3 linked regions of the Lepisosteus oculatus genome follow. The protein of the gene in region 2 purifies or fractionates together with the protein of the main gene of each other region. This does not show direct contact. Links are inferred from orthologs where the notes say so. Each region holds a gene or a part of one and is shown on either strand. Other genes may lie near its edges.

Region 1 (10,649 bases), on a different chromosome or scaffold from region 2:
TCCAGAATCGAACCCAGGGGCCCCAGCACTGCGAAGCCTCTGTCCTTGTGATTGGGTAAAGACCTGCTGCTGCGCTGTGTGCACATCTGCCCAGCTGTGCTCTTGTCTCCCTCCAGGTGTACAACGTGCGTGAGCAGCAGGTGGAGGAGCCCCAGTTCCCAGTGCACGTCGACATCGACATGGTGCGCGTGATGGGCGTCTTCCTGGCACAGCTGCGGTGAGTCGGGGCTCCCTCTCGCCACGGTTCAGGGCCCATGTGCAGTTGGGGGTCTCCCCAGCCCGCCGATTCGCGTATTCCCAATTCAATCGGGCGTGGAAGGAGAGCGGAGCGAGCCGAAGGCTGTGAAGCACAGCTTTCAGATCAGCGGGGCAGCAGACTTGGGGGGGTGGCGAGACCACTCCAGCTAGTGTCCGAGCCTCTCGGGCCCCCTGCCCGAAGACCCACATCTCGGGGCGCTCTGGTCTTCATATCATAATGAACACTCCAGGTTCTGTGTCAGCAGTGTGAGTGACAGTCCTGCTGCCTGTTTCATTACAGTGAAACAGGTGTTACTCATGAAGACAGTTGATGTGCAGGCTGAACGGAGAACAAAGATTCCTGTTGTTTATTTTAGCTGATTACTATACGTTGGTGATTACTGTTGTTTCTTTTAGTTGTTGGGCGTTATTTAAACTAACTTAAAGCCAATGCATTAGTGCTTTCAATACCATATAAGGGATGCTTACGTATGGCTTTTAAACATACATACCATATACTGTGGTACATTATGAAACGGTATAAGGGTGAATTTGGTTAGATGCAAATCTGGCTATTTGTGACAGTTCTCTGCACCGAATCCTCGCAGGTGTTGAGAACCTACTGTGTACTTCCCCCGTGATGATCGAGGTGACGCCTGCTCAGCGCACACCCCACAGTTCCACACCCAGACCGCTCGGTCACGCTCGCCTGTCTGTGATCTGAGCTGCCGAGGGCCAGCGTTGTGACAGACGGACAGGCGGGTCTGGCTGAGCTGAGTGGGTGCTTATGGGTAGGGTGAGTCGCAGGTCTCGGCTTGATGACGATGCTGCCTGGGGGTAGGGCGTGGGTGTGTCGCTCCTGCCTCTGATGCGCCGCGTCCCTGTCCCCGCAGGCTGCTGCTGGGGGTGCAGCAGGTCCACGCCCCCCCCGGCTACCTGCTTCAGAGCCCCGGCAACAAGGGGCTGACGGACTGGGAGCTGGACCGCCTGCTGTGGGCCCGCGCCGTCGAGAACATCGCCACCGCCACCACCACCCTCACCTCGCTGGCCCAGCTGCTGGACGAGATCGGCAACATCGTCATCGACGACCACATCGCGGAGCAGGTGAGCGTGACCCCGCCGGTCATTGAAGAAAATCCGAACCCACACCTCATGGCACAGCATGCCTGCATGGCTCTTTGCTCTGCTGCCACACGGCTCCTGGATCCTGGGTTCGAGTACTGGACCTTCTGTGTGGAGCTTGCACACTCCTAGGATGTTTCTTGAAAAGAGTAGGGGTGTTACCTCGATGTCCGGGCCAAATTCCCCCCTGGCCTTTACCAATCATGGCCTCCTAATAATCCCCATCTCTGAACTGGCTTCATCACTCTGCTCTCCTCCCCACTGAGAGCTGGTGTGTGGGGAGAGTACTGGTGCATCATCCAGGTGGGGCTGCACACTGGTGGAGGTGGAGGGGATCCCCATTACCTGTAAAGCACTTTGAGTGGAGTGTCCAGAAAAGGGCCACTTTTTTAGTGATTTTTCACCACACTGACAGATGGATCAGGTTTGCACCCCCTGCTGGACAGATTGCACTCCTTCCTTGCCCCAGTCTCCTGACTGAAGTGTAGGTTAAGTGGGATTCTTTCGGCAGCCGCTGGCTGTTCCACTTGGTTGAGGAAGACGTGATCTGAGCGAGGTCCTCCTCTGCTTGCAGGTGTACAGCGCGGTGAGCTCGCTGCAGCTGGCCGTGGCCGAGCTGGAGGCCGGGAACCTGGCCTTCGCCTTCCAGTCCAGCAAGGAGGCCATCCTGTCCTCGGAGAGAGCCTTCTTCGACCCCTCCCTGCTGCACCTCCTCTACTTCCCCGACGACCAGAAGTTCGCCATCTACATCCCCCTCTTCCTGCCCATGTCCGTGCCCATCCTGCTGTCGCTGCTCAAGATCGGCAAGGAGTACCGGCAGAGCCGCGCGCAGCGTCCAAAGAGGGACTGAGAGGGGCCCCGCTCGGCCTCAAGTGGACCCCCTTGACCTCTCTCCTCTGGTTTTCTATACATGCATCTACGGAGTGTGCAAGGAACAAGTCCAGGTTTATTTTGTGCTGAACGGAGAAGAAAAACGCAGCGTTTCTTCTGATGCTTGAAGAGGGCTCCACAGCCGAAACGTTGCGTTTCTCTTCTTCTTCTCTTTTCAGCAGGGAATAAACCTCTGCTTGTTCCTTTGCAGCCCACGCGTGCTGACGCAGCTCCCTGCCTGAACTGTACAGAATGAGGGTGTGTGTGTGCTTCCCCTGAAGAGGACCGGCATGGTAGTGCTTTGTCAGGGCGTAAGACCTACTGCATCCCGAAACCTTCTTGAAACGTTCTTCAAACGGTGCACGCACCTGGATCAGGAAGGTTCAAGTCCTACTTCTCGGTCCCCTTGGCACCATGAATAGAAATATGCGTCACAAAGCAAGCAGCTAGCCTGCCTGTCATTAGGCATGCAGTAATTGGAGTAGGTACGTCAGCATGCGTAGGCTGTAAAAGAACGGCAAAGGGTTTATTCCGTGCTGAATGGAAAAGTGTAGAAGGCTGCACAGCCAAAATGTTGTCTCTTTCCCTTTTAACATGGAATAAACTTTTATCTGTTCCTTTGTATACAGTAAATTACTAAGGTGTCTGCTCTACGTTGAGACCAGCGCACTGGTTTCAGAAGGGTTGTGGGGATTGGCTTTCTACCGGCATTGGGCCCAGCACTGAAATATGCTCATCACTGGATTATTTTCGAGTCTGCTGTTCATGGATCGCAGACTTTCTCGTTATGACGTTTTGGGTGCTCGACGTGTCTGTTCATTCGCTCCTGCAGCTCAAAGGATCCGCGATGGACTCGGTGTCGGAACGCTCTCCTCTGTCGGATGGTTTTCCCGGCAGGATGTGTTGAACGTGGAGGCAGTAAACACAGTACGAATGTGATTGATCTGGATGCCATGCTATTTCTGTCTGGATCAGTATATGTATGCGTGTGGTTGTGTTGTTTTCTTGAGTATTTGTTGTTTGTGTTTCTTAGAACCTGTTTTCTTGTGGGGTATTTCTTCAACATTCTTGATTGTTGGATTTATCTATTAAGAGAACAGTTAAGCAGATGCTGTATGAAGCACAGTGGGTGAGAGAGAAATCTGTGTGAAAACTATTTTATTTATTGTGTTGATGGTATATTTTAAGATTCTTTAACACCTTGATAATAACCCCCTACATGAACACGGCTCTTTGTATTATAACATTAAGAATTTAAATGTAGAAATTAGAATTACCTCACGGCCAGTGTTGTTGCATGAGAATGAAATGGATTTCCTATCAAAGATCAATTATTTTTATTTCTAAACTAGAAAACAGAGACTCTCGGGAAAGGGAATGTCAGTGTAGCTCCGAGATGAATTCTGGGACTTCGTTGGCACAACAAACCTTTCCTAGAGCAGAAAGTTTAAATATCACACCTGTGGTGTTCCTTGGCAAAAGAGTTACAGTTCCCAGCAATAAATCAAAGCCTAGACATTAAACAGAAAGTAAATAAAGTGTATAGGCACAAACAAACTGCTTGAAACCTGCATGTTTCTACAGAGGTTACCCAAGAAAGACTGTACACGATAGTGGTTGAAACAGGCTTTAAATCCATGCCTGCATACAGCACAGGTAGTAGTTCAGGTGGGTAGCTGCGTCAGCATGCGTAGGCTGCAAAGGTATGCTGCTTACAATTGTATATGGGGTTGTACTGGTAACTTGCAGAGAATGACCTCTTAACTGGCTTCATCCTCTCTAGAAACCAGGAATGTATTTCCATTCCCAGGAGCTGACAATATTCCCGAAACTGCCTTGGGAAAAGAGGAGGGGTGCAGGCTTTTTGGGAAAAAGAGTTGTGGGGAGGTGGGGTGGGGTGAATTGCCCCTTATCCCCGTTGTGCTGTTGTGTGCCTGGAATGTGGCGCCTCTCAGGCTCACAGGCGAGACACGAGCACCCTGCTGCCAGCCTGTTTCACACAGCAGATGCCCCGGGCTGTCGCCCCGGTCCCCATGCCTGTGTCCAAGTGCATGAAGCCGAGAAACTGCAAAAGGCCCTACACGCGTTTCAGATTTTTAAGATATTAATCAGACGTTTTCAATTTGTTACATTACTGCTCCCTTTTTAAAATGGGAAGGTAATGACTCAGGGCCCCTTGCGACAAAAAAATACAAGTGTTGACTGAATTAAAATCAGGCTTTTCCATTCAGTGGCCAATTTCAAACTTAAATCCATACACTCTGCCACTGACGTAGGCTTGAAGTGAGCTGTTTTTAAATTTCGTGCTGAAATCCTTGTTTTCAACGTAATGGAGTGTTGCAGAGTGAGGTTAAGGCCCATGCCTGCTACTAACTTTGACCTGAACGTGTTTTTTTTGTTGTTGTTGTTATTGTTTTGTACTTTTTATTTTTGGAGGGGCAAAAAGAGTCGCACCAGAATCTCTGTGAATCAAAATAAATAAAAACAAACACAGATGAAGTGTGACTTGTGAGTCCTCTCCAGTTCAGGGAAAGTGTCCCTGCTCTTTGTGTTGTCTAAGGCTGATGTTTGTGTTGGTTTGTTGCTGCTTAGCAACCAATAACTCTGCTATGGGCTCAGTGAAGAGGGTGATCGTGTTTAAATTTCTGTTTGTTTGTCAAGCAAACTTATTTCAAATACTGTCGGTTATTCCACAAAGTTTTAAAAAGAGAGCACACAAAGAGAAAATGGCCGACTGTTCCCGCACGGAGTGGCCGGTGCTTTGTCTATACAGAAGCCAGGAGCCTGGATGCCCTTGAGGGGTTTTATCTGCTGTCCAAAGAGACTAACGGACACGGTTACCCCCCCGTCCAGTTCAGCTGTGAATAAAATCCACATTCTTGAAAACACTTAATCTGTGGAACTGCTTTCAATCTTTCATTTTCATTGCTATCGCCGATTAAGGCAATAAATAGTTTGCATTTCGATTTCAGATTTGGGAGTCATCTTTCGAAAAGCGTCTCATTCAAACAAGTTTTTAAAAGCGAGTGATGCACAGCACACTTAAGACTAACAAGCTATTTATCTGTAATGTCTGTTTCTGGGCGTCTGGTCCTAGAAATCTGATTTCTCAACACTAAACCGTTCTTGGATACACTGATATTGTAGGGTGTCTTTTATCTTTTTGTTTTTTTGCATTAGGCATTGTAATACTATCGAAATCTCTTATTTTTTCAAACCTACTTTATGTAGGTTTTGCACAATTTGAAATTATGAGGTCTGTTGATTGTACATTGCCTTCGATAAATAAAGTCGCTATTTTATAATAGAAAAAAAAACACATTTTCTCAGTTTTCAGAAACTCATAGTAATTTGAAACTGGCGCAGGAGGGGCTTCGGGCGACGCGACCTAAACGACGTCACTGTAGCGTGTGGCCCCCCAGCATAAAAGTTCAGGGTTCGCTACAGGTTCCTCCGTTATTTTATTTGCAGCAGCGGAAGAAAAATATCGAAAAAGCCAAAGCCTTTTATACATTTATTTTCCCTAGTGGGCATTTAACGTACTCGGTGTTTTAATTTTATTTTCCACGCTGGCGCAGCGAAGTGGTAAACAGGGGATTATTTTATAGGTCGGAGGTGCACTTCCAAGCCGGAGAGCGCGGAGCGGGCTCGGTCGGTTGTGTTCCTCCGCCAGCGCAAGACGGTTCAAACGACTGGGACAGCCGGCGCCATTTTGAAGAAGGCAGGGAGCGGAGTGAGTGCGTGGAGACCGAGGCGCACGCTAGAAGATAAACGGGGCATCAAGTTTGCAGCACGTGAGCCGTGAGCGGGCAGGCTGCTAGCCGTTTGTCATTTTTTTTGTTTTAAGTCGCGGTAGTAGCGGTTGAGCGGTTTCCTCGCACGATGTCTGGCGGTGGTGTGATTCGGGGCCCTGCTGGGAATAACGATTGTCGGATCTACGTGGGGAACCTGCCCCCAGATATCCGCACCAAGGACATCGAGGACGTTTTTTACAAGTACGGGGCCATCCGGGATATCGACCTGAAAAACCGGCGCGGAGGACCGCCGTTCGCCTTCGTGGAGTTTGAGGATCCCAGGTGAGGGAGCCGGGCAGGGAGGAGGGAGAGGCGCCGTGGGCAGCACGCGCGGCCTGCGCGGCGCGGGCCTAGGGGGAGGCGCGCGCGCGGTGGGTCCCGTGTCTGCACGATCCTGGTGGTCGGGGCACCCGGAGCCCTGCCTCGTTTGTGCTCGGGGGGCGTTTGTTATGCCTTTTTGTTTTTTCTCCATCGATTGGGCGCGGAGTCTTGTGCAAGTCGAGAGCTAAGGACCCGTTGAGCGTGCGCCTGGCTCTTACAGGTCATGCGGTGTCGTACCCTGTGGCCGGGGCGCTGGAAGTCGATTGCCTGGTCTGTGCGAGGGCGCACACGCGTGTTCCTGGCTACGTGGAGCTGTACCGAGCGTTGGTCAAGCTTATCTGAGCAGATCACTCGGAATTTCGATGAGGCCCTATAAAAACTGCGATGGTGCTGATATAAGCTTCTAGCCGGCTTCTCCCGCGACGCGGCGAGGGTCCCAAAACCCTCCAGAGTCTTTGTTCCTTTGTTGATTGTAAAAAGTTTTCTCTTGGCCCCGGTTTATATGCTGAAGCAGTGATGCAACTTTTCGATCGCCGTTGCAGCGTTGTAAATACAAATTGTCGTCTGTTAAACTTTTTTTTGTTTCCTTCCGCTGGAGATGAGGGACGGGGTCGATAATTAAAATAACCTCGGGGTTTCCCCTAACTTTCGGGAGATTAAACACCAGATGGGGGGGGGAAATACTAGTTCACAGCGCCGTGAAACCATGCTTCACCTGCTACTTTTCAAGCATGCAGGATGTTTCCCCTATTGTGGTGGTTTGGCGCTCATTTTCTCGCCATGTGACGACCGCCGCCAGCCTTGTTGTAGTGGAGGAAGCTGGCGGCGCTCGGAGCCTTCTTATGATTTCTGTGTCTAATTCTGTCAATCGCGGTGAAATATTTGGAATACTGGCATTCACCGACAAATGCTTTATCTTTATTGTAGTTTGCGTTTGCCCCCACCTCATTCCTGACCCCATCTTTGTCTGAAACAGTTCATGCGTCGACTTTGCTCACCTGGTGTCTTTTATTCCTGAGCTGCCCAGAAAAATGAACATTTATTCGTGCATGGGGGCACGTTCAAATGATAGTAGTGCCAATGGAACAGTTTCGAATTCATAATATCACGCGGTTATGAAAACGTGCTGTGCGGTTTGGTTTATCGCGATATGGGACCTGCTGACGACTCGCCGGAAACGCGGATGAGACTGAAAGACATGCGAATATACTCGAGGTACTTTCTGCAGCTGGTGTTCGCCTGTATACACGTGTCTTCCCCTGGCAAACTGTAGGGTGCCTTCCTGCTGTTGTGGGGAAGCATATTTGTTTAAATTAAGCTTTGCTAACCAGCAAACAAATCCACTGTCTTTCCTTCTTGTACACCCTGGTTTCTGAAATAGCTTCAAGTCCTGCGTGTGGTGCTGTTTTCAGGGATGCTGAGGACGCAGTATACGGACGGGATGGCTATGACTATGATGGATACCGCCTTCGAGTTGAGTTCCCCAGAAGTGGGAGGGGCACAGGTAGAGGGGGCGGAGGTGGGGGGATTGGAGCCCCCAGAGGCCGATATGGCCCCCCCTCTAGGCGATCGGAGTACAGAGTCATAGTTTCAGGTAAGCCTCACTACTGGATATTGCAAATCTCTATGCATGAAGTACAAATGGAGTCTGTTACTCTTAATGCAACAAATGATTCTATCTTATCAATTCTTCAGTATACTAGTCATGAATGATCTTTTTATCAAGAGAGAGAAGTTCACATTTGGAAATATTTCCCAATATTGTGAATTTCTAACTGCTGTGAAATCATTTCAACAGTTACAATTAGTCATTGGGCAGTAATAGTAATAATTGCTTACACTTATATAGTGCTTTTCTGAACACTCCACTCAAAGCGCTTTACAGGTAATGGGGACTCCTCTCCACCACCACCAATTTGCAGCATCCACCTGGATGCAGTGAGTGTTTTTTTGTGGGTGGTCAGTTACAAATGCATCTTTCATCTTGTATTGATCTGGGTTCTTCTGCTTTGCTTCCAGTTGCTTCTTTTGATCAGGTCTGCAATTCTCTGCTAGGCTCATCTTCTCTTGTAGAGGTCTTCCCAAGTGGCAGTGATTCTCTCGTATGTTATGCTGACGTTTTCCGAGATGGAACTGGTGTTGTGGAGTTTGTTCGCAAAGAAGATATGACCTACGCTGTACGAAAACTGGATAACACTAAATTCAGATCACACGAGGTAGGTTTGAGGTTTTCTAACTGGACCTGCATTGGATACAAAGTTCATAAATGTTGGATTTTTCTTTTAAGGTAAGCAAATGAGCTGGATTTAATGACATTTACTGGGACCTTCTTGTAAGTGAGATGTCCCAATGAATGTCGCCTGTAGTTTAAAGTGTCATTAGGCTTGGTGCCAAGCTCAGAATGCCATGCTGGAATACTGGCCCTGTGGTTTAAAAGATTTAACTGACTCATTTTTGCCCATTAGCCTATTCTAAAGAGGTATGTATGTTGGGCACTTTTTGAAACTAATGAAACGGCTTTCTAAGACTTGTATTTCCTGAAATATCTAATTTATGTGATTTCCCACATGTTTCATTTTCCCTGAAGCAGAAGGTGTCTCATTGATCTTATAGTCTGCATGAATGTGTGCACAGAAACTGCTACTTTGACAGTTACCTCTTGCATTGCAGAAGATTCCCAACTTTTGGTCAGACCAGCGAATCTATTCGCAGCTTAAACACCTTTTAAAATTAAGCATTTTATCCTGGTCTAGTATTTTGTGCACAGCAAAAAAAAATACCGCCCCTATATTAGAGGGCTGTTGGTCTGCTTCTCCTTTGGTCTTGCTTACCAGGGCACATACTTGTGCTAATGAGGGAGTAGATCTCAGCTTTAAACGGGGAGTTAGAATGATCCCCACCTGGCTTCCCTTTCTCCGTATCCAGAGAGGGTTGATTATAATTTGCCTTTAGGCAGAAGTCAAGAGGTCGTGGCTTAACGCAGGGCGGCTTGTAAAACCCTGGGATTCAAGTGTGTGCAGCTCGTGCTGCCCACTGAAAGGCACTAATGGGTTCACGTATCCCAGATGCCTCAGCAGTGAAAGGTTGGGGACTACATATTGGGATGCAGCCTAATTGCCTTTCATGTTGACAATGTCTTACTGGGGTGTCTTAGCCTTAATAATCCCCCCGTTGATTTGGGCAAAGGCCGTGTTTTTAAAAAAACCGTTAAACCTGTAAACCTGTTCTGGTTTAGCAGTGTCTTCTGACGGATGCAGGGATTCTTGTCAGAGGGGGAATCATGGCGCGTGCAAACCCGTAGCGGGGCCTGACATGAAAACCCAGTTGTTTGTAGTAGATGGAAGGGGACAGGCTGACAGGAAAGACAGAGATGGTAAGTGTCTGTGGACGGCTTCCCCCGGGGTGTTTTTTTCATGAGCCAGTTCTCTCCGTGTCCACCAGGGAGAGACCGCGTACATCCGTGTGAAAGTCGACGGCCCCCGGAGCCCCAGCTACGGACGCTCCCGCTCCCGGAGCCGCAGCCGCAGCCGGAGCCGCAGCAACAGCCGCAGCCGCAGCCGCAGCTACTCGCCGCGGCGCAGCCGAGGATCGCCGCGCTACTCGCCGCGCCACAGCCGCTCCCGCTCCCGCACCTAGGCCCGCCCGCGCCCCGCGCGCGCCCCCGCTCTCGGGGTCCTTCGTTGTCGTACAGAATTTTCTTTCCCTGTTTTATTAAAGTTTGCTACGGTTTTTGGATATTAAATTGGTTTTGCTGGTGACCTAGTTCTTCATAAAAGAAAAACTGGTCTGTGGACATGTCCCCGTCCTGTCCTTCCCAGTCCTCCCACTCCGCAGTCGACATTTTCCCTGTGTGCCCTGCCTGAAGTGTATTTTAAACACTGTATAGCCTGTTTTTTTTTTTACAAATTGAAAGTCTGGGGTCTTGGAGCCGAAAACAAAATTGGTATTGCTTTGTCTTCCACCATTTTGTCAAAGGTGGGGTTTACTGCTTGCTTGTTTGGGCGGGGGGTGGGGGTGGGAGGGCTTAACCTGCTTTTGTGGAACAGCGGGAGTCATTGTAAAAAATTTTTTACCTTTTCATGTGTCTTTCTATAGACATCTGAAGCGAAGGATTAAAGAATGCTTTGGAATAAAGGATTGTGAAGCACAATTCATTCATAGTAGGATAATCAAAGCGTGTCTAATTGGAGGAGGAGGAGCAGTCAGATCAATAATGGAGGCAATGGTATGACACCAAGTGCTTCAGTCACTTTTAAGAACTTGGCAGTATTGAGTTTGAATAGACAGCACCATGGTACTTGGTTT
Region 2 (11,169 bases):
CTCGCGCCCCTGCCTCCTGCAAACCCTGCGGACCCCACCGAGCGTCTCCGCCCGCCTCCCACCGCCGGCGCCCCGCGAGTCAGGCGCCCGCGCCGCGCGGAGCGGCAGGCGAGGAAGAGGAGCCCCCCAGAGTCAGGAGAGAAGCCCCCCGCTGTGGTACCTGGTCGCACCCGGCGTTGACGAGCTCCTGCAGCATCTGCCGGTTGACCTCCGGGCCTGGCGAGGAGCCCGAGTCGTTGGCGAAGGGCAGTAGCGACCGCCGGATCTCGCGCAGGGCGGTCTGGTAGTTGCCGAACTTCTGGGGCGCGCGGGGGTGGTGCTGCTGCGGCGGCGGCCGGCCGCCCTCGGCGCCGCGGCCCCCCTGCAGCGCCTGGCTCACCAGCTTGGCCGGCTGCTTCAGGCCCTCCTTGATCTCCTGCAGGCGCTGCCGCGTGTTGCCCGCGTACGGGGTGGCGGGGAACGTCTTCGGCCTCATGGCCGCTCCCGCCCTCCCCCCGGCTCCTCTCCGCTTGGCCCGCGCCGGACGCTGCTCTCAGTCCTCCTCCCCGCCCCACAACATCAACGGACGGGCCGCCCAGAGCCCGCCCCGCCGCGCTGTCCGGACGCAGGCTTTAGTGGGGCCTCAGAGGACCGGGCTCCCCGCCGTCCTGCAGCCTGAGAGAGAAGGCGCCGTGCCCGCTGACCGCTCCATCCCCACGGGGCCTCTGGGAAGACAGACGGGGGGAGAAGCGTCAGCAGAGCCGCGCGCGACCGGGCCGAAGCAGGGCCAGGGCTGGACTGGCATCCCGTCCGGGGTGCACCGCTGCCTGCTGGGATAGGCTCCAGCTCCCCCGCCACCCCGAACTGGATAGAGGAAGTGGGATCAGCGGGGTGCCGTGCGCCATTTGACAGCCACACCAACAACTCTGACCCCCTTCCCTTTTCCTGTCTGCGCCCCCCCAACACACAGCGGGAGACAATGGGCATCTCTGCAGCTTTAGCGAAATGTCTATTCCCATGATCTGAACACACAAGATCCCCCAAAAATGCACATTTCCCCCCCCACAGGTAATAAACACCAGTTTTGTCAACATGTCTTCCTCTACCTTAACGGGCTAAATCTTAGCGGTGGCAGGACACGCAGTCATCTGAAACGGACACAGATTTCTTCTTCTTCTTCTGTGTAATACTGTCCGATTTGTTCGTATAGTCCTTTACGCGCAACGCCTACGTGTAAATGTTATACGTCTGCTGAAACTGCACACACTCTGGTTCTGTTAAGACTCTGAGGAGGCTGAAGGTCCACCTGATTAATACAGGCAGCATCGAGAAAGCCAGGGGCCTGGGTAGCCAACAGCTGTGCAAAAAAAACAGGCTCCCAATGACAGCAGTTAACAACAAACAACTCCACTCAAGACCCGAACGTGGAACCCAGACATACTGTATCCTGCTGACGGGCGCCGGGGGTGGACCCTTCGCTTGTCACGCGAAGTCTGTTCGTCAGCGGAGCTAACCGAGAGGCGAGACGCATCCGATTTTGTGAAAATCAACTCCCCTCCCCTCACGCTCGTTAGAGGTAAAAATCTCCAACTGCTTCATCTTGATCGCTAATGAAATCTCACGTGGACGAAGGCGGGAGCACGGGGTCACACCCAGGTGATGGCTACGTTATTTCAAAGACCCCAGAGCAGATAACAGCCTGGGCGGTCCACCCGTTGTCAGAGGTCCGCACCGACCCGGAGCCTGACCCGGCAGGACCGGGCGCTGGGCCCCGGGGACGGACCTGCCCCCCCACATACCAGCCGAGTCCTGCGGACCCTGTGGGAGGGTGACCCGAAGGCACAGGCTCCCCCAGGCTCTGCAGGGGAGCTCCACTGCCACTGCCCATGTCCCCAGAGGGACTGAGGGGACACCACTCCGATGGACAATAATAATTCATAGCTCCTCACACTTCTACAGCGCTTTTCTGGACTCTCCACTCAAAGCGCTTTACAGGTCATGGGGATCCCCTCCACCCCCACCAGTGTGCAGCCCCTCCTGGATGATGCACCAGTACGCTCCCCACACACCAGCTCTCAGTGGGGAGGAGAGCAGAGTGATGAAGCCAGTTCAGAGAGGGGGATTATTAGGAGGCCATGATTGGTAAAGGCCGGGGGAAATTTGGCCTGGACACCGGGGGGAGACATCCCTACTCTTTGTGAGAAACACTCTGGGACTTTTAATGACCACAGAGTCAGGACCTCAGTTTAACGTCTCACCCGAAGGACAGTGGCTTTTTACAGTACAGTGTCCCCATCACGATACTGGGGCATTAGGACCCACACAGACCGCAGGGTGAGCGCCCCCTGCTGGCCCCACTCACACCTCTTCCAGCAGCAGCCTTAGTTTTTCCCCGGAGTCTCCCATCCAGGTACTGGCCAGGCTCACACTGCTGGGCTCCAGTGGGGCTGCCAGCTGGGAGCTGCAGGGGGATGGAGCTGCTGGCCGCGCACGTTGTCACAGAGCCCCGGCAACACTAAAGCCGAGGGCCCGTCACGGACCGACTGCCCGGCCGCCGCCGGTCAGGTCTGCAGCCGTGGCCACACCCCATCACCCCTCCTGGGGGGGGAGGGATCTGGGGGACTCGGCAGCACCACCTGCACCGCCCTGCGAGACGCCGTGAGAGCCCCTTCTAACCCGCTGCTTCCCAGCACGCTTCTGCAGCAGCGCCTCCTGGACAGCTGTGTTGTTCCTACATTAGGTGCGCGATAAAACTACCTCATACTGCAGCGTGCTAACATTTTAAACACCCTAAAATGTCATTGGTAAGGAACATTCTGGATTTCTTCCATCTCCAGCATCATTTCCAGAAAAAAAAGGCGTGTTCTGTATAACGGAGAAAGAAAATAATATGCAACTTGTTTAAAAAGTTCGGAACGTGGGCAGGAGATCTTGACACGTCTTTATAATAAATATAAGACACACCTCTCCTGAAAACCATGCGGCTGCCTGCAGCTTACACTACCTCTAATGCGACTAAATTAAAAAAAAACCCTGATCAATCTGATAAATTACAGGGATGCTTCTGAAGTAAAACGCTGAGCTTTTATAGACGTCTATCGATACCTTTTTGCAATAAGTGCAATATCGCACAATAATGGAAAGGATAACGAACGCGGAGGTGTCCGGCCACCGCAGTCGAATTGAACCCGACTCTGCAGTTCAATCAACAACACAAACAGCGTGGCCGCTGGGAAGGACATGGACGCGACAACAATGTTTCACAACCTCCCAGTTCACAGTTCACACACAGTGGTGGGACGGTCAAGTTCATCTTTGTGCCTCTTAAAACAACACCCAGCTGTATCCTGTAACATCTGCTTTTCGAGAGACTTACACTCGGATACCGACCAGACTGTAAACGGGTTTTGAAGTCTGTCATACAGACGGCGGAGTTCATGAGAATCGAGAGACAGGGGCAGCGGGCGGCAGGCACGATATGTGCAGCAGCTCGCTGGGAAACACATGCAAGAGACGACGGTGCCCATTTAAACCGTGGTAACAGTGTCAGCTTTGTAGCAACCCGAAAAATGTTAAAAATGTACAAGACAGAAGCAGACGCTGCGCTGAACCCATCAACCGATACAGAGTATATACACGTCCACGGGCACCGACAGACGGGGAATTACACGATCTGCCCCCTCGTTTAATTTCTCTGCCAAGAAAAAAAAATCGGCACATTGAAAACGTTTTAGGCACTCAGCTCTGCTGCCGTTTTTCGGAACTTCGACTTGCATATGACAAAACATAATCATTACTGGCTGTGCTCTCTTCTCCCCACCTCCTTCTCGACAAAACGATGAAAACCCCTCCGACACCTTACCATCGTCTCACGGGCTCGTCTCGGTCCTTCGGAGCGCTGGCTGCCTCCCCAGCCCCTTCTGCAAGCCGCGTGTCTTTTATTTAGATGGCAGATCCCTAGTTAACGTCGTTCCCCCCTCCAAAAAAAAAAAAGTTAAGAAAAAAAACTTCACAGAGCCTGTTCGAGTTGGGGCTGAAAGTTTGCGATCTGGTCCTGATTGGAGTGACTGGAACGCAGGTCCGGAGAAGGAGCCCGACATTCCACCTTAGGGAGACTTTGAAGTTTCATCGGCCACCCCCCCCCTTCTATATATGTTGGCATGTGCGTGCGTGCGCGCCTTCAGTTGAAGACGAACGCCCCTACCCGCACCCCACATCGGCTGTCGAGAACAGAAATACATTTACGATTTTTAAAATTAAAAAAAAAATCATCGAACCGCCGAAAAAAAATCGAAAAGTTGCACCTTTCCCAGACGCGGGAGCATAGCAACCACTCGCAACAGCAAAACGCGTGCATTGTAAGAAAAAGTAACGGTAAACTCTCTAAAAACAAACAAACAAACAAACAAACAGAAATGCATCAGGAGAAGGGGAAAGTTACCTTATCTGCTGCTGCTGCTGCTATCGTGAACGGGGCTGTCCTTCAGCCACCCAGCTCAGCTCAGTGCCTGCGGCCGGGGCTCACGCCGGTATGAGGCTCCATTTTCTCCCTACAGTGGGCTGAATTAGGACGCTGTGCTCAGTTGGACACTTTCTGCATCGCTCGCATTCCAGGGGGAGCACGTGACGCCCCCGGATCACGTCAGCGGCCCGCGCGCTCGCGGACTGGGGGGCGCTTCTAGCGCTCGAGCGCGGCTTCGTGACCCAAGAAGAAAAAAAAAAACAAAACAACCAAAAACCCCACAGACGCGCAGGGCGCCCCGGGAAGCCAGGAAGCCGACTGGCAACACGCCCGAATGTGTGTCTTTCTGTTTTGTCACCCCCCCCCACACACACACACAAATCCCAGTGTTTAGGCTGAAGTCGTTATTGAGCCGCAAAGGAACAAGTTTTAGGTTCATTCCCGGCTGAAAAGAGAAGGAAGACAACACAACGTTTCGGCTGTTGAGCCTTCTTCGGGGGGTTATTCAGCCTGAGCAGATCTTAAAAATCAGTTGTTGGCTATAGAAATCGCGTCAGCTACAGATAACTAAACGTTCAGTTCATAGCTACAGGTGACTGTACATTTGGTTAAACGTACAAGGCCCCAGTAGCCAAAGTACAATTAAAACCCAGTCTTAGACGTAATAAATGAAGGAAAAACAAACATGCACTAGGAGCGGCAACCCCAAAAGTGAACGAGGGGCAGGTTGGTGAAGATCACCTCAAGACCCGCGTTAATTTCCTGCCATTTTAGCCAACATAACGCGTAAGAAGAAGCATCAATAACGCAGGACAGGATGAAACAGTCGCTAGGCTCCGGTTACTGAGGCTGGAGGGGTGCTTATTGTTTCAGATCTAAGCGGCCCAGAGCACTAAGGAGTGAAAATGTGCCGCTGGAAAAGCGTGTTAGAGTGCAAAGCAACCGACTAACATCGAGGGAAACCGACAAACGGCTTCCTTGTTTCAATGCTGTCATTGCGCTCTGGACAGTAAATCTAAGGACGAACCGTTTTGTATTGTTTTAAAACACGTCCAAACATCCACATAATTATCACGCATATTAATTCACGCACAGAGCGCTTTAAACACCATTGAGTTAACTCATCCAGATTAGATTTGAATAGCCTGGTCACCAGGACAGCCTCTTCTGAATCGGCTAGTTTGTGACAGCTTCTTCCAAGTGACAGTTTTGTTGTTTATAATTTCTTCCCACTGACCCTCTGTACCACAGTCCCCAGTGTCTCTCAGCTCCTTTTAATAGCGCTGCGATCCGGTTCGTCACGCGTTGCATGAGCAGATCTTGCTAGATGTACAGCTACAAGGAGAGCTGAGGAATTCAGTGTGACAGACGTGTTTGCGCCTGAATTACGTCGGATTATATCTCCTGGTAGTGATGCGGATCAGCTGGAAGACCGCGTTGTGTTAGAAAGTGAGCTATTATCTTTGTGACCCGTGGACCCGTTATGAGGTCCCACTGGGAAACACGACACAGGTTCGCAGACTCAGCCCGTCAGGAGTTACAGTCAAAGAGCCGCAGTACAGTCGGGGGGGGGGGGGGGTCTGACTGTAAATATGTTTCCTCCCTCTTTGTAAACCAGAGGTACAGTATGGAAAGGAAAAAAAAGCAGAGCAGATATTCTTTTCTTATCTCTCTACAGACCAGAGTGTCTCAGTGCATTAATAAAATTCAAAATGTTGAAGTACTGAATAAAACATAATAAATACCTCTATCAGTTCCACAGAGTGTTGAATTGCTTCATCTACGGATTGCTTAATATCATTTTTTTTTAATGAGTGACTCTTGGATGATCTCAGCCAGTAAAAACCTTCCGTTCAAAACTGAAGAGATGGACGTATTTTTCACAGAAGCAGGAAAGCGGACACCTACTGTAGCACACAAGCCCTAAGGAATGGCCTGGGCTGGAATATCTTGAAAGCACACATTGAAAGTCTCGACACAGGTAAAATAAACACAAGAACAGAATGGATACGGGCAAAAGGAGGCTTGTTTGGTTATTAAAAGCAAATTGACCTGGGAATCTTATTTAGCCTTCTCTTTAAAGAAGCAAAGTCAAATACACGCAACTACCAAAATAATGGAAACACCAACAATATGACATATTAATAACATCTTCAATGGTACATACTGTAATACAACTGCACTTTACAAAAAAGATTTAACAAGATAAGTAAAGATAAGGAAAAACTCTTGGGAAAAACTAAGGTTGCTGCTGGAAGAGGTGTTAGTGGGGCCAACAGGGGGCGCTCACCCTGTGGTCCATGTGGGTCTTAATGCCCCAGTATAGTCAAGGTCCTGACTCTCTGTGGTCATTAAAAATCCCAGGGCATTTCTCGAAAAGAGTAGGGGTGTAACCCCGGTGTCCTGGCCAAAATTTCCAATCGGCCCTTACCAATCATGGCCTCCTAATAATCCCTATCTATGAATTGGCTACATTACTCTGCTCTCCTCCCCACTGATAGCTGGTGTGTGGTGAGTGTTCTGGCGCACTATGGCTGCTGTCGCATCATCCAGGTGGGGCTGCACACTGGTGGTGGTGGAGGGGATCCCCATTACCTGTAAAGCACTTTGAGTGGAGTGTCCAGAAAAGCGCTATATAAGTGTAAGCAATTATTATTATTATTATTATTATTATTATTATTGTTATTATTATATAAGGTCCGCACAGCTGTCATGTTCTTACTGTTAGAAATAATCACCTTTAACCTAAGCACTTCAGAATAAAAAGGGTGTGCGCCTATTTTAGTCATTATACGATACGGAGAAGTCGCATTTTGATTGGCTCCATAGCCTTTAAGCTCATTCGCGGGCTACGTATCCTGTTACGTCATCACGACCCGTGGGTTGAACCGGAAGTTATACTTGTGTTTGTACGGGGTCGGCGTGAAGACGCGGGGGCGCTTTCTGGGAAAATGGCTGTTGAATCTCGAGTCACTCAGGAAGAAATCAAGAAAGAACCCGAAAAGCCCGTCGATAGAGAAAAGGTGAGTTGTGTTAAGCCGTTTTTGTCTATCGAAGATGCGCACGCACGGTTTGAGTGGTGCCTTGTATTTTGTTTTCTGGAAATGTGTGGAACGGTGTTGTGTTGGTCTCCATTAAACGCTTCAGTAGGTATGTGCTGTGTAAAACTGTGTTTTCATTTCGTGTTTCTTCGCATTTTGGGTAGTTGTACAGTGTCTCCCTCAAAGACAGTGAGACTTATTGAGTTTTCAGTTAAAACGATTTACTTTCTCTTCCTAATTGCTGCCAAACGTGTGCGATGCGAAGCAATACGAGTTGAGAAAACGGCGATAAAGTATATGTTTTTCTCACTTTCTTTCCTTAGTGAGCAAAATATACTTAAAGGTCATTTATTTACTTACAACGCGATGAATGTAGATGTAGCTAGCAAGTTTGTAATGCATCTTTTGTGAAACACGATGGTGAGCAGATACCACGCTTGAGACCACCTATCGGTTTCCCGCAACTGAAAAAAGCTAGGTACTTATTTTTGTTGTTTTGTTTGCAGACTTGCCCGCTGCTGCTGCGGGTGTTCACCACGAACAACGGCAGACACCACAGAATGGACGAGTTCGCCAGGGGAAACGTGCCCTCCAGCGAGCTGCAAATCTATACCTGGTAGGTCTGATGACACTTCACACCACGGGGCTCCCTGCTTGGGCCGGGGGAGCCCCACCCCAGCAAGTTGTTTTATAGGTCATCATAAAATAAGCAGTTTCTGAAGATATGGACCAATTCCACTGTAACCACCCCTGGAGCAGCTGGGGTTAAGGGCCTTGCTCGGGGGCCCAACGGAGTAGGATTCCTCTGCCGGCTGCGGGATTTGAACCAGCAACCTTCCAGCCACAGGCACAGATCCTGAGCCATAGAGCCACTGCACCGTTAAATTAATTTAGAGATATTTTAGGACTAAAATCTATGTACTTCTCAGATTTCAGGGATTAGTTATATTAATGATATCCTTACACCTATATAGCTCTTTTCTGGACACTGTACTCAGTGCTTTGCAGGTAATGGGGATCCCCTCCACCACCACATGGATGATGTGGTGGCAGCCAGAGTGCTCCAGGCTGCTCCCCACACACCAGCTCTCAGTAGGGAGGAGAGCAGAGTGATGAGGCTTATTGGGAAGCCATGACTGGTAAAGACCAGGGGGAAATTTGATCAAGACATTGTGGTAACACCCCTACTCTTTTTGAGAAACACCCTTGGATTTTAAATGACCACGGAGAGTCAGGACCTCGGTTTATTGTCTCATCCGAAAGACGGTGCCCATTTACAGTTTGGTGTCCCCGTCACAGACCCACACAGAACGCAGGGTGAGCGCCCCCTACTAACACCTCTTCAGCAGCAACCTGAGCTTTCCCAGGAGGTCTCGCATCCAGGTATTCGCCAGGCTCACACCTGCTGAGCTCCACTGGGTTGCCAGCTGTGAGTTAAAGGGTGATAGAGCTGCTGGGTCTCTGTTAATTGAACAGATTACTTGCTTGGTCAGTGTTGTCTTACAGTCTTTAAAAAGAAGTTGAGCAGTACTGGGGCTCTCCAGGACCAGCTGGACAGACTAACTGACCAGAAGAACAAAGCTGTTCACCTCTGCAGGTGCCCAGACCTGTTGCAGAGCCCTGATCCGAGAGACGTGGGCCCTGCGCTATCAACACGCGCCATTGGATATGGCATAGTTGTGGTGGTACTCAGAAGGCCAATGCTTTCATCACAAGCAATGAAATGACAAATGTAACTCTGTTGGCCTGCTTGTTTTAATATGCCAGGTCGAATTCAACCGGAACGCCAAACTTTTCAAAAACTACAAGAATGATCTTGCAGAATCTGCTGCCAGCTCCCCTCCCACGACCGTGGAAAACCTTAAGCTGTGCTGAAAGTGCAAATTTATTGTCTTGAGGTGACATTAGCCAAATATGGAGTAGTTATGTTTATTTTTCAAATGTTCTCCTGCTGTTGGAGCTGAAGTTAAGTGCTGAGTCTTAGCTTCCGTCTTGGGTACTTTAAAGAGTAATATTGTCTCAAATAGGATGGATGCTACCTTGAAGGAACTGACCAGCTTGGTGAAAGAAGTCTATCCAGAAGCTCGGAAGAAAGGCACGCATTTTGGCTTTGCCATCGTGTACCCTGACCCTAAAAGACAAGGCTACAGGTAAATACCTTGAGAAATACCGCCGTTACGGGCCGAGCTTAAACGCGCAGCGGCTGTGTTTGAACTGTGACACCTAAGATGATCTGCCCTTGGTCCTGTAGAGTTAAAGACATTGGGAACACGGTGTCCGGGCGGAAAGGAGCAGACGATTCCATGACTCTGCAATCGCAGCGGTTCCAGATAGGAGACTACCTAGACATTGCCATAACGCCGCCGAACAGAGCGCCGCCCCTGCCTGGACGCATGAGGCCCTACTGACCGCCGGGGACTGCGGCCGCTACGTTTTATATCCCCTGTGTTTCCTATTAAAGCCTTTTTTTCCTGCCTTTCCTGATTTAATTAATGTCGCTGTAGCTTTTTTTTTCTGGAAGCGTTTAAGGAAATTTAGTTTGAAAGCTCCTTTCATTTTTTCGTGAATTTTAATTTGCGTTGGATTTGGTAATTCAATTAAACGATTTCTGTGAAGGTGTTTTTTCTGAAAGAAATCTCGTGTGGGGAGTATGACGTTTTTTTAAAGGTGGGGTTTGTGTGAGCGTGCGTGACTGGGTCACAGGTGTGGAGTAACAGATTTACAGGAATTAAAACTTTGAGATTAGACCCTTGAGGAACCTGGTTTGGTGTTATACTGCTATTCGTCCTTGATCATGCTAGATGGCTGGTCTGGTTGATCACACTGTGCCTTGGTCTCTGTTAACCCCTCCAAACTTAAATACCCAGATTTAATTCAGGGGGAAAAGTTAGAGGGGATGTTAACAATGAGGGTGTTTGTTCTGGAGTTTTTCATGCTTAAAATTGCAAGTGAAGATTTAAGATCACTTTAAAAAGCTGATAGTATTTTACCCACCCTGTGTGTGTATACAAACAGTCTCTAAAATCTTCACACCCTTTTGAAAGTTACCCCAATAACACCCTTCAATGAGAATTTTACCCTTATTTGCACATTGTGACAACCTCCAAGTGAAAGACACACACTTAAACATTCTGAAATGTATGCTAGAACAACAGCCGTAACTGTATAGGTCCGTACAGAAGTTGCATGGCTAGGTCTGGCAATGTGTCCATTCCACCTTGAAGACGGGGAGGGGAAAGCAGACTGGGGCGCTCGAGGACATTCGCCTTTGTGTTCTTGATCGTCCCCGCTGTTGCCTGGGGTCGGTGTCGTGTTGAAAAGTAAGCCTGCTTCCCCATTACAGCTGCCTCCAGGGTCCGAGTCACTGCTACAGGGAAACACTCCTGTAGCCATGCTGCCTCCACCATGCTTTACAGCAGGGAAGGTGTTTTGGGGGTGTAGTCCTGTATTTGTCCTTTGGCGAGAAAAGTCTATCCTGGTTTCATCAGACCAAACAAAGATTTTTCAGCATAGCTTCAGAAGCTCTGGTAGTTTTGCATACACTTTTTGTGGGCAATGGCCTGGAGTAGTGGAGAGCTTGGAATATTGCTGTGACAGGTACACAATGTCTAGTCTTTGATTCAAATCCTTCAAGGATGCCACTGGATTTTTATCTCGATCTCCTGCTTGGTGCCTTTCCACAGCTTT
Region 3 (10,456 bases), on a different chromosome or scaffold from region 2:
GTGAGAGAGAGGAGATCACAGAGAATCCCTCAGTAATACACACACACAACAGGACAGGAGACACAGTGAGAGAGAGAGGAGATCACAGAGAATCCCTCAGTAATACACACACACAACAGGACAGGAGACACAGTGAGAGAGAGAGGAGATCACAGAGAATCCCTCGGTAATACACACACACAACAGGACAGGAGACACAGTGAGTGAGAGATAGGAGATCGTAGAGAAGCCCTCAGTAATAAACACACAACAGGACAGGAGACACAGTGAGAGAGAGGAGATCACAGAGAAGCCCTCAATAATAACATTACTAATAATAATTGACAGGGCGTGAGAAGTGCTCTTACCGTAGCACCGTAAAGGAATAAAGAAATGTCTCTTTGCCTCCTGTTCCCGAAATGTGAACCGCGATCACGCGTGTTTATTTACGTCTCAGTCCATGTCCTCCCGATATTCTTCAGGCACCACGGTTACACAGACACCCCCGGTTCGGTCCCTGGGCCTTTCCTTGCCGCCGCTGTCGGTACACAACTCTCGGAGTTTGCCTGGGTCTGTGGTGTGTGTGTTGTTATTGTTGTTACTCGCCCGTCTGTGAAGGAAGGAAAACACCACAGCTTCCGGTTTTAAACGGAAACCGGAAAGGGCTGGTCTCGACGAGAGCGACCGGAAAGAGCCGAGGGGCGATCCCTTCCGCTCGGGTCTTTCCGTCAACTCGCGCTGTGGACGCGCAGGAGCTTCTCTGTTTCCGGATCACGACCGGATTTGTGTTCTGTTGTGTAGACAGGCCAGAGCAGTGTTTTAGTAGCCGAAATAATAATAATAATAATCATCGCTGCCGCTGTTGTCATCATCACCAGCTACAGAGTCGATCCCCCTGCTGATGTCGCAGGAGAGACGTGCCGACAGCGCCACCTAGCGTTGGTAAAAGTTTGCGCCAGTAGCGGTTTAATTCCGACGCGGATCTGCAGACGCAGCACAAACCGCTTGAGAAGAGAGCTCTGCTCTTTTTTTATTATTAAACGTATAAAGAATTTTACAGACACAACCAGAGGATCGGAAACAGACAGGCACAAGAGAAAAAAACACAAACAGAAAAAAAAACAGTTAACCGCCAGAGGTAATGAAGTCAATGATGTGTTCGGATGATTTTTGGACAGATATCAAACGTTTTCCTTGCTGTAGCATTTCTCAGTTTTTTTAATAGAATTTCGTTTCAACTCCACCTCAAAAGTACTGAAAGGGGGAGTGTTATTGGACCATTTTGCTTGATGAATGTGACATTTACCCAGAATGACTATGATAAATGTACTATAAATAAATGCTTATTAAACAGCACAATCAAATATCAAAATCCCTCAATCTAAAAACACCTTTAACTGCCTGCACACAAAACACTGCAAGTCCGTCCAGAACAGCTTCCCAAACCCACCCCAGCCCTTGGGTCCCGGAGCGCAGCCCGAGCCCGGCTGTGCCAGCGGGGGAGATCTATCCGCTCGACGGAGGGCGGCTCGGGCCCGGTGATTTTCTGCGCGGACCTCAGAACCCCCTGTACGGCCTTTCTGTCCTGTCCTGGGGCTCCACTGCACCACCCCGGAGTGCGCTGGCTCTGGGGCTCAGGATCTGCGCCGTGATAATATGACTCTGATTTTACTCTGTAGTCGTATGTAGCTCTCTGAATGGTCTTGAATTCATTCAGATCTCTGAATTAATGAGCGGCTGATCGCTGATTGGGGTGTTTGGCCTCCTCTGGGGCTCAGGAGCTGTGCCTGTGGCTGGGAGGTTGCCGGTTCGAATCCCGGGGCTGGCAGAGAAATCCTATTCCTCACTCCGCTGGGCCCCTGAGCGAGGCCCTGAACCCCAGCTGCTCCAGGGGTGCTGTATAAATGGCCGACCCTGCGCTCTGACCCCCAGCTTCTCTCCCTGTCTGTGTGTCTCCTGGAGAGCAAGCTGGGGTCTGTGAAAAGACACATTCCTGATGAAAGAGACTGTACAGAGACAGGAAAGAGATCTGATCTTGATTGTACAGGGCCAGTAAAGAGATCTGATCTTGATTGTACAAAGACACTAAAGAGATCTGATCTTGATTGTACAGGGACAGGAAAGAGATCTGATCTTGATTGTAAAGGGACAGGAAAGAGATCTGATCTTGATTGTACAGGGACACTAAAGAGATCTGATCTTGATCGTACAGAGACAGTAAAGAGATCTGATCTTGATTGTACAGGGACAGTAAAGAGATCTGATCTTGATTGTATAGGGACAGTAAAGAGATCTGATCTTGATTGTACAGGGACACTAAAGAGATCTGATCTTGATTGTACAGGGACACTAAAGAGATCTGATCTTGATTGTACAGGGACAGGAAAGAGATCTGATCTTGATTGTACAGGGACACTAAAGAGATCTGATCTTGATCGTACAGAGACAGTAAAGAGATCTGATCTTGATTGTACAGGGACAGTAAAGAGACCTGATCTTGATTGTACAGGGACACTAAAGAGATCTGATCTTGATTGTACAGGGCCAGTAAAGAGATCTGATCTTGATTGTACAGGGACAGGAAAGAGATCTGATCTTGATCGTACAGGGACAGGAAAGAGATCTGATCTTGATTGTACAGGGACAGTAAAGAGATCTGATCTTGATTGTACAGGGACAGGAAAGAGATCTGATCTTGATTGTACAGGGACACTAAAGAGATCTGTGAGTTGAGAGCACAGCCGTGTGCTCAGCCCTGTGTTGAGGATCGGGGGGGGGGGTGTTCACCCCTCTTTTTGCACGTCTCAGAGTGAAAGTGCCCTGGGGCATACGAGCACCCGTACCTGGCCCCGCTGGCCGAGAGCACCCTCCTCCTCCTCCTCCTCGTGAGAGCGGTGATCGGACCCTGTCGGCCCGAGACCTGTGAAGGTTACTCTTCCGGCCCGGAGGAAAGCCTTTCCGACTCTTCCTGCCATGTCCCCCCCAGGGCATTCCTGCAAGCCGCTGGGACTGGAGCCCCTGAGGGTCTGATATTGAAGACGCTCAGAAGGAATTCCTGACACCTCTATAGCGCCTTTCTGGACCCTCCACCCCTCCCCCGGCGCTGTCCAGTACTGGGGACCCCCTCCACCCCCCCAGTCCGCTCACACACTCCAGCTCTCAGTGGGGAGGAGAGCAGAGTGATGAGGCCAGTTCAGAGAGGGGGGTGATCAGGAGGCCATGACTGGTAAAGACCAGGGGGAGTCTGTCCAGGACACTGGGGTCACACCCCTACTCTTTCTGAGAGACACCCTGGGGTCTTGACTGACCACAGAGGCAGGACCTCAGTTTTACGTCTCATCTGAAGGACGGCGCCTTGTTTACAGTCTAGTGTCCCCGTCACTGTCCTGGGGCATTAGGACCCCCACAGACTGCAGGGTGAGCACCCCCTACTGGCCCCACTGGGTCTCCCACCCAGGTACTGGCCAGGCTCACACTGCTGAGCTCCAGTGGGCTGTCAGTGAGCAGTAGGGGGATACGGCTGTAAATAATAATAATAATAATAATTACACTTATATAGAGCTTTTCTGGACACTCCAGTCAAAGAGCTTTACAGGTACTGGGGATCCCCTCATTTTCCCAGGATTCTTTTCCCGTTCACAACCGTTTTTTTGTGCAATATATGCCATGGACCCGTGCAATACATTTATATTTATATTTACATCTATATTTAGATTCATATGTGCAATACGATCTTTCTGTTCCAGTTTGTTCTTTGTGTGTCCTGGACTGTGAGGTACTCTTTTAGTGCACTTCTCACTGTACTGATTGTATAGTATGTATTGTATTATTATTATTATTATTATTATTGTATCATTCGTTACACTGTTGCTGTGTTGTCTGTGTTAAGCTGCTGTTGGAGTGCAGTTTCCCTCACGGGATCAATAAAGTATCTAGTGTCCCCGTCACTGTCCTGGGGCATTAGGACCCCCAGAGACCGCAGGGTGAGCGCCCCCTGCTGGCCCCACTAACACCTCTCCCAGGTACTGGCCAGGCTCACCCTGAGCCCCAGTGGGCTGTGTGTGAGCTGCAGGGGGGTACGGCTGCTGTTGTTATTCATGTCACCAGACAATGGCCACCTGGCATACAGATTCGTCTGTGTTTAATGTAATCTGTAATACAAGAATCCATCCATTCATTCAGACTGTACTCAGATTCTTCAAAAACATCCTGAAACAGTCCTACACACGTCTTGTGTCATATAAACTAGTTCAACGATGTGACCCCTCTTGTAATGTTAATCAGGTTGGTAGTGTTGTGGCTGATGTCCTGTTCTGCTGACTTGTATGATGTTTTTGTATTGTTATATCACAATGTCTGTATATTTATGCCCTTAATTGTCGTAATTTCTTCTTTGAAGAATAATAACATAGAACCTCATTTTATTTTTTTATTATCATGGTAAATATTTAGCTGTCTCCCTGGCTTCAGGTCACCCTCAAGCTTCAGGTCAAGCCCAGCAGAGACAGTGTCTCTGCCCCTCCGCTGGGAGAGATGCCTCTGTGTCTCCGGGAGGGACAGTAACACCCCTCTGCAGTCTCACCCTCTCTCTGACCTCAGGGCCCAGCGCTGGCCTGGGCTCTGTGTGGGTGATGCTGTAAAGACTGGCTTTGTCCTGAGACTCCCAGAGAGTCCTGCTGGGAGCACCTGGTGGACACTGTCCCCTGACCCTGCTGTCCACTCCAGCACAGGACAGGAGGACACTTTTCCCTGACCCTGCTGTCCACCCAAGCACAAGACAGGAGAACTCTGTCCCCTGACCCTGCTGTCCACTCCAGCACACAACAGGAGGACACTATCCCCTGACCCTGCTGTCCACACCAGCACAGGACAGGAAAACTCTGTCCTCTGACTCTGCTGTCCACTCCAGCACACAACAGGAGGACACTGACCCCTGGCCCTGCTGTCCACCCCAGCACAGGACAGGACACTGTCCCCTGACCCTGCTGTCCACTCCAGCACAGGACAGGAGGACACTGTCCCCTGATCCTACTGTCCACTCCAGCACAGGACAGGAGAACACTGTCCCCTGACCCTGCTGTCCACTCCAGCACAGGACAGGAGGACACTGTCCTCTCCCCTCTCTCCCCTCTCTCCCCCCTCCTCTCTCTCCTCCTCTCTCCTCTCTCCCGGGAGCTCTGTTTCCACTGAACAAGTACAGGTTTACTCCCTGCTGGAAAGAGGAGACAAGAAACACAACGTTTCGGCTGCGGAGCTTTTTCGGGTGTCGGGCGGGTTCCTCTGGAGCCTTTTTTAGCGAGTTACCACCCTGCACCTGTGTCCGTGTCCCCTAATGCGTGTGTAAGCGCTGTGGGTGGTGTTGTTGTACAGGGGGATATAGGCTGGTGCTTGTTCCCCTGTCTCGTCTCTGCTCGTCCTCTGTCCTGCACGAACCCATAGGCCCTACAACACCATCGCCAGGGGCACCTACTGCAACAGACCTGAACTTGACCGAAAATCGATTACACAAGGGAAATAAATCAAGATAAAGGCCAGCGCGGCTTTCATGTTCTCACTTTTAAAAATACTCTGCAGATTCGCCCTGACGTCTATTTCAAACTGCTCAGACACGGGTGTCTTCCCCGACTTTCTGTATATAACAACGTGCAAGTTGTTTTTGAGTCAGTAATGACGAATCATTTGTCCGCAGATGACCGACGACGCCTCGACCTTCGAACTCCTGTGAGCTGCAGGGGTAGCTGACGAGTGCTGTCCGGAGATTGCCGAAGTAGCCTCGGCCGGCCCCCCTCCGGAGATTGCCGAAGTTGCCTCGGCCTGCTCTCTCCGGAGATTACCGACGACTGAGCCTCGCGTTCGATCCCCCTCCCGCTCCTGCTCTTCGGGCCTCTCCGGCTCCGGAGAAAGCCGAGCTCTGACGTCAGCGGGGGGGAAGGCGTTGCAGCGGCCGAGCCGGGGAGAGAGAGAGCGAGCGAGCGCAAGAGCGAGGGGGGAAAAGCAAAGATGGCGGAGCTCGAAGACGTTACGTTGGATGGGAAGCCGCTTCACTCGCTCCGGGTGGCGGACCTGAAGGCCGCCCTGGAGCAGCGAGGCCTCCCCAAGAGCGGGCAGAAGAACGCGCTCATCAAGCGGCTCAAAGGGGTGAGTTTGGCCGCGGTTCCGCGGGGGGCTCGGACGGGACTGGGGCGGCAGGGGGGGGCGGCAGCAGGCTCCCGGAGCACGAAGAAGCGAGCCCTCGGGTTGGAGTCCGCGGCGGCGGCCGCCCCCCGGCCCGGGCGGGCGGGCGGGAGCGAGGGAGCGAGGGCGCGGGCGGGCGGGAGGCCCAGGCCCGGCGCCCGGGGGCCGGGGGCGCGGCGAGGGCGCCGGGCCTGCAGGCTGCGAGCGGAGCGGCGGCTGGAAAGTTGAGCCGCGCCGAGGAGGCCGAGAGGGAGCGAGGGGCGAGTGTGTGTGTGTGTTTACGGGAGTCGGCGCGGCTCGGTGTGTCGGTTAGTTTTTTTTCTGAGTAGAAGTCGACGAGCCCGCGCTTTGTGTGTCTGTGCGCGTTCACGGAGAGCGAGCGAGGGGGGCCGTTTCTCCCGGGTGCGTGCGCGCTCTCTTGCTCGCGCTCGCAGGGGGGGGGGGGTTGAGGCCGGAGGACTGAAGGAGCGGGGATGTCGCGCGCTTTTACAGTTTGTGTTTTTCTGGCGGTGTGACGTGGACGAGGCTCGTTCCCGGGGATTAGCTGTCAGCGAGTGCCAGCGGCCGGAGTCGCGCTGGTTGGAAACCCGGCGCTCTTGACGGGGGGCGTCGGGGGGCTCCCTCTCTGCGAAATTACGAGCCTGTTGGGATCCCCCCGCTACCCACGTGAGCGCGCGCGTCGGCCACTCGCGATGATTGGTTTCAATTAAAGACGCGACGCTCTGTGCAAAAACACGAAGGTTGTGATTTTCAGAGGTGTCGACAAATCAGGCTGGGGGGTCTGTGTGTTTGAGTTGTTGAAGTTTGACGCCCCTGGCCAGGACCCCGATCAGGTGTGCCGAGAAGCCCGGTTGTGCTTTTCTGTGCCATCAGACTGCTGCTGCACTGTGGAGTTTCTCTCTCGCTGGCCGGGAGCTGTGACTGCACTGCACTGTCTGTGTGCGATGCTGTGTGTGTTTGTGCATGTGCTGTCATTGGTTCACCTCCCTGTGTGTGTAGGACGTGCTCAGTAAGTGTCAGTCCAGATCCCAGGACACTGTCAGTAAGAGTAGGGGTGTCCTGACTGGTCAGTACAGATCCCAGGACACTGTCAGTAAGAGTAGAGGTGTCCTGACTGGTCAGTACAGATCCCAGGACACTGTCAGTAAGAGTAGGGGTGTCCTGACTGCTGGTCAGTCCAGATCCCAGGACACTGTCAGTAAGAGTAGGGGTGTCCTGACTGGTCAGTTCAGATCCCAGGACACTGTCAGTAAGAGTAGGGGTGTCCTGACTGGTCAGTACAGATCCCAGGACACTGTCAGTAAGAGTAGGGGTGTCCTGACTGGTCAGTCCAGATCCCAGGACACTGTCAGTAAGAGTAGGGGTGTCCTGACTGGTCAGTACAGATCCCAGGACACTGTCAGTAAGAGTAGGGCTGTCCCGACTGGTCAGTCCAGATCCCAGGACACTGTCAGTAAGAGTAGGGGTGTCCTGACTGGTCAGTCCAGATCCCAGGACACTGTCAGTAAGAGTAGGGGTGTCCTGACTGGTCAGTACAGATCCCAGGACACTGTCAGTAAGAGTAGGGGTGTCCTGACTGGTCAGTACAGACCCCAGGACACTGTCAGTAAGAGTAGGGGTGTCCTGACTGGTCAGTCCAGATCCCAGGACACTGTCAGTAAGAGTAGGGGTGTCCTGACTGGTCAGTTCAGATCCCAGGACACTGTCAGTAAGAGTAGGGGTGTCCTGACTGGTCAGTTCAGATCCCAGGACACTGTCAGTAAGAGTAGGGGTGTCCTGACTGGTCAGTCCAGATCCCAGGACACTGTCAGTAAGAGTAGGGGTGTCCTGACTGCTGGTCAGTACAGATCCCAGGACACTGTCAGTAAGAGTAGGGGTGTCCTGACTGCTGGTCAGTCCAGATCCCAGGACACTGTCAGTAAGAGTAGGGGTGTCCTGACTGCTGGTCAGTCCAGATCCCAGGACACTGTCAGTAAGAGTAGGGGTGTCCTGACTGGTCAGTACAGATCCCAGGACACTGTCGGTAAGTCTAGGGGTGTCCTGACTGCTGGTCAGTCCAGATCCCAGGACACTGTCAGTAAGAGTAGGGGTGTCCTGACTGGTCAGTCCAGATCCCAGGACACTGTCAGTAAGAGTAGGGGTGTCCTGACTGGTCAGTACAGATCCCAGGACACTGTCAGTAAGAGTAGGGGTGTCCTGACTGGTCAGTACAGACCCCAGGACACTGTCAGTAAGAGTAGGGGTGTCCTGACTGGTCAGTCCAGATCCCAGGACACTGTCAGTAAGAGTAGGGGTGTCCTGACTGGTCAGTTCAGATCCCAGGACACTGTCAGTAAGAGTAGGGGTGTCCTGACTGGTCAGTTCAGATCCCAGGACACTGTCAGTAAGAGTAGGGGTGTCCTGACTGGTCAGTCCAGATCCCAGGACACTGTCAGTAAGAGTAGGGGTGTCCTGACTGCTGGTCAGTACAGATCCCAGGACACTGTCAGTAAGAGTAGGGGTGTCCTGACTGCTGGTCAGTCCAGATCCCAGGACACTGTCAGTAAGAGTAGGGGTGTCCTGACTGCTGGTCAGTCCAGATCCCAGGACACTGTCAGTAAGAGTAGGGGTGTCCTGACTGGTCAGTTCAGATCCCAGGACTCTGTCAGTAAGAGTAGGGGTGTCCTGACTGCTGGTCAGTCCAGATCCCAGGACACTGTCAGTAAGAGTAGGGGTGTCCTGACTGCTGGTCAGTACAGATCCCAGGACACTGTCAGTAAGAGTAGGGGTGTTGCTTATCCATCCTTTATTGACCTTTGATCAGGGGACACCTCTGATGTATTCCTTGTTAATGCATGGTATTTGCTTACTGTAGTGTGCTGTGTTTGATTCTGCTCTAATTAGTTGCATTGTTTTGAATAGTGATTAACTGAGATTATAATCAGACTCCACTGACAGAGCAGTGTGAGACACTCCAGACTGGACTGGACTGACTGGACTGTGATCTTGATTAGTGATTCACTGAGATTATAATCAGACTCATTGACACTGACAGCTGTCTGAGCCAGTGTCTGACTGACATTAGTGGTATCGATGTGAGCTGTGAGAGGATGAGAGGGGGCTCTGGTAGAACTGGTGTCCTGGCCTGCTGCTCCAGTGATGAGTTACCATGCTAATACTGATACACCAGGCTGGCTGTGTGTCTGTCTGGGTGTAGGTGAGTTAAACTCTCCTTCTCACATTGTCTGTGTGCTCTGAGGAGATCACTGGGCCAGCCTGCCAGCCTCTGTTAATTTCTCTCTCCTGGGCTTCCTGACTGAGACCAGCCTGTTACCTTGACTTTCAGATTATCCCTGAGTCTGAGGATGGACTGACTGGACTGTGATCTTGATTAGAGATTAACTGAGATTATAATCAGACTCCACTGACACTGACAGAGCAGTGTGAGACTCTCCAGGCTGGACTGGACTGACTGGACTGTGATCTTGATTAGTGATTCACTGAGATTATAATCAGACTCCACTGACACTGACAGAGCAGTGTGAGACTCTCCAGGCTGGACTGGACTGTATGATTAGCAGTGTGTATCCTGAACACCAAGGGGCTGTAGTGTCTAGGCTGCAGTCTTCAGTATAGTGCGTGGGGCTGGTTGAGAGAGACAGCAGTGTGTCCAGTGCTGGTGATTGTGGTTCATGTCTAATCTATGTGTTTATGTTGTTTCAGGCTCTGATGTTAGAAAATTTGCAGAAGCACTCAACCCCTCACAGTGGGCTACAGCCCAACTCCCAGGTAAGACATCTATCTAGAAAGATGCGTGTTCCTCACCTTGCTGGAACGTGCTATACAGACATGCTGAGACAGACGGATTTGGTGGACACTTTTCCACACTTGGTGTAGATGTGCTGTGCAGACACTGTTTCTGGTTACCCGTGTCCGCCTGTTGCTCTGGGAGCAGACCAGGTGTGTTTCTGGTTACCCGTGTCCGCCTGTTGCTCTGGGAGCAGACCAGGTGTGTTTCTGGTTACCCGTGTCCGCCTGTTGCTCTGGGAGCAGACCAGGTGTGTTTCTGGTTACCCGTGTCCGCCTGTTGCTCTAGGAGCAGACGCCTGTGTTTCTGGTTACCCGTGTCCGCCTGTTGCTCTGGGAGCAGACCAGGTGTGTTTCTGGTTACCCGTGTCCGCCTGTTGCTCTAGGAGCAGATGCCTGTGTTTCTGGTTACCCGTGTCCGCCTGTTGCTCTGGGAGCAGACCAGGTGTGTTTCTGGTTACCCGTGTCCGCCTGTTGCTCTGGGAGCAGACGGCTGTGTTTCTGGTTACCCGTGTCC

What was found.
Region 1: the proteins of sap18 (region 2) and srsf1a purify together in Homo sapiens (co-immunoprecipitation; 4 studies listed by BioGRID and IntAct, with this or other methods). This does not show direct contact. The link is inferred for Lepisosteus oculatus from reciprocal best matches to the Homo sapiens genes SAP18 and SRSF1.
Region 3: the proteins of sap18 (region 2) and acin1b fractionate together in Homo sapiens (co-fractionation; 7 studies listed by BioGRID and IntAct, with this or other methods). This does not show direct contact. The link is inferred for Lepisosteus oculatus from reciprocal best matches to the Homo sapiens genes SAP18 and ACIN1.

What each region holds. Positions count from the first base shown.
Region 1 is NC_090721.1:9,630,277-9,640,925, reverse strand, and holds the start of srsf1a (serine/arginine-rich splicing factor 1), read left to right. Parts: upstream 1-5,689; 5' UTR 5,690-6,111; coding exon 6,112-6,305; intron 6,306-7,756; coding exon 7,757-7,990; intron 7,991-8,436; coding exon 8,437-8,560; intron 8,561-9,785; coding exon 9,786-9,980; 3' UTR 9,981-10,649. Other genes in the region: pigs (GPI transamidase component PIG-S), read left to right, coding at 117-217, 1,131-1,341, 1,934-2,209. UniProt on the Homo sapiens protein: Plays a role in preventing exon skipping, ensuring the accuracy of splicing and regulating alternative splicing.
Region 2 is NC_090710.1:31,921,110-31,932,278, forward strand, and holds sap18 (histone deacetylase complex subunit SAP18), read left to right. Parts: upstream 1-7,331; 5' UTR 7,332-7,392; coding exon 7,393-7,464; intron 7,465-7,988; coding exon 7,989-8,098; intron 8,099-9,509; coding exon 9,510-9,632; intron 9,633-9,733; coding exon 9,734-9,890; 3' UTR 9,891-10,117; downstream 10,118-11,169. Other genes in the region: serine/threonine-protein kinase LATS2, read right to left, coding at 161-475. UniProt on the Homo sapiens protein: Component of the SIN3-repressing complex. Enhances the ability of SIN3-HDAC1-mediated transcriptional repression. When tethered to the promoter, it can direct the formation of a repressive complex to core histone proteins.
Region 3 is NC_090699.1:13,178,084-13,188,539, reverse strand, and holds the start of acin1b (apoptotic chromatin condensation inducer 1b), read left to right. Parts: upstream 1-5,885; 5' UTR 5,886-5,979; coding exon 5,980-6,117; intron 6,118-9,283; exon of another isoform or gene 9,284-9,395; intron 9,396-9,855; coding exon 9,856-9,921; intron 9,922-10,456.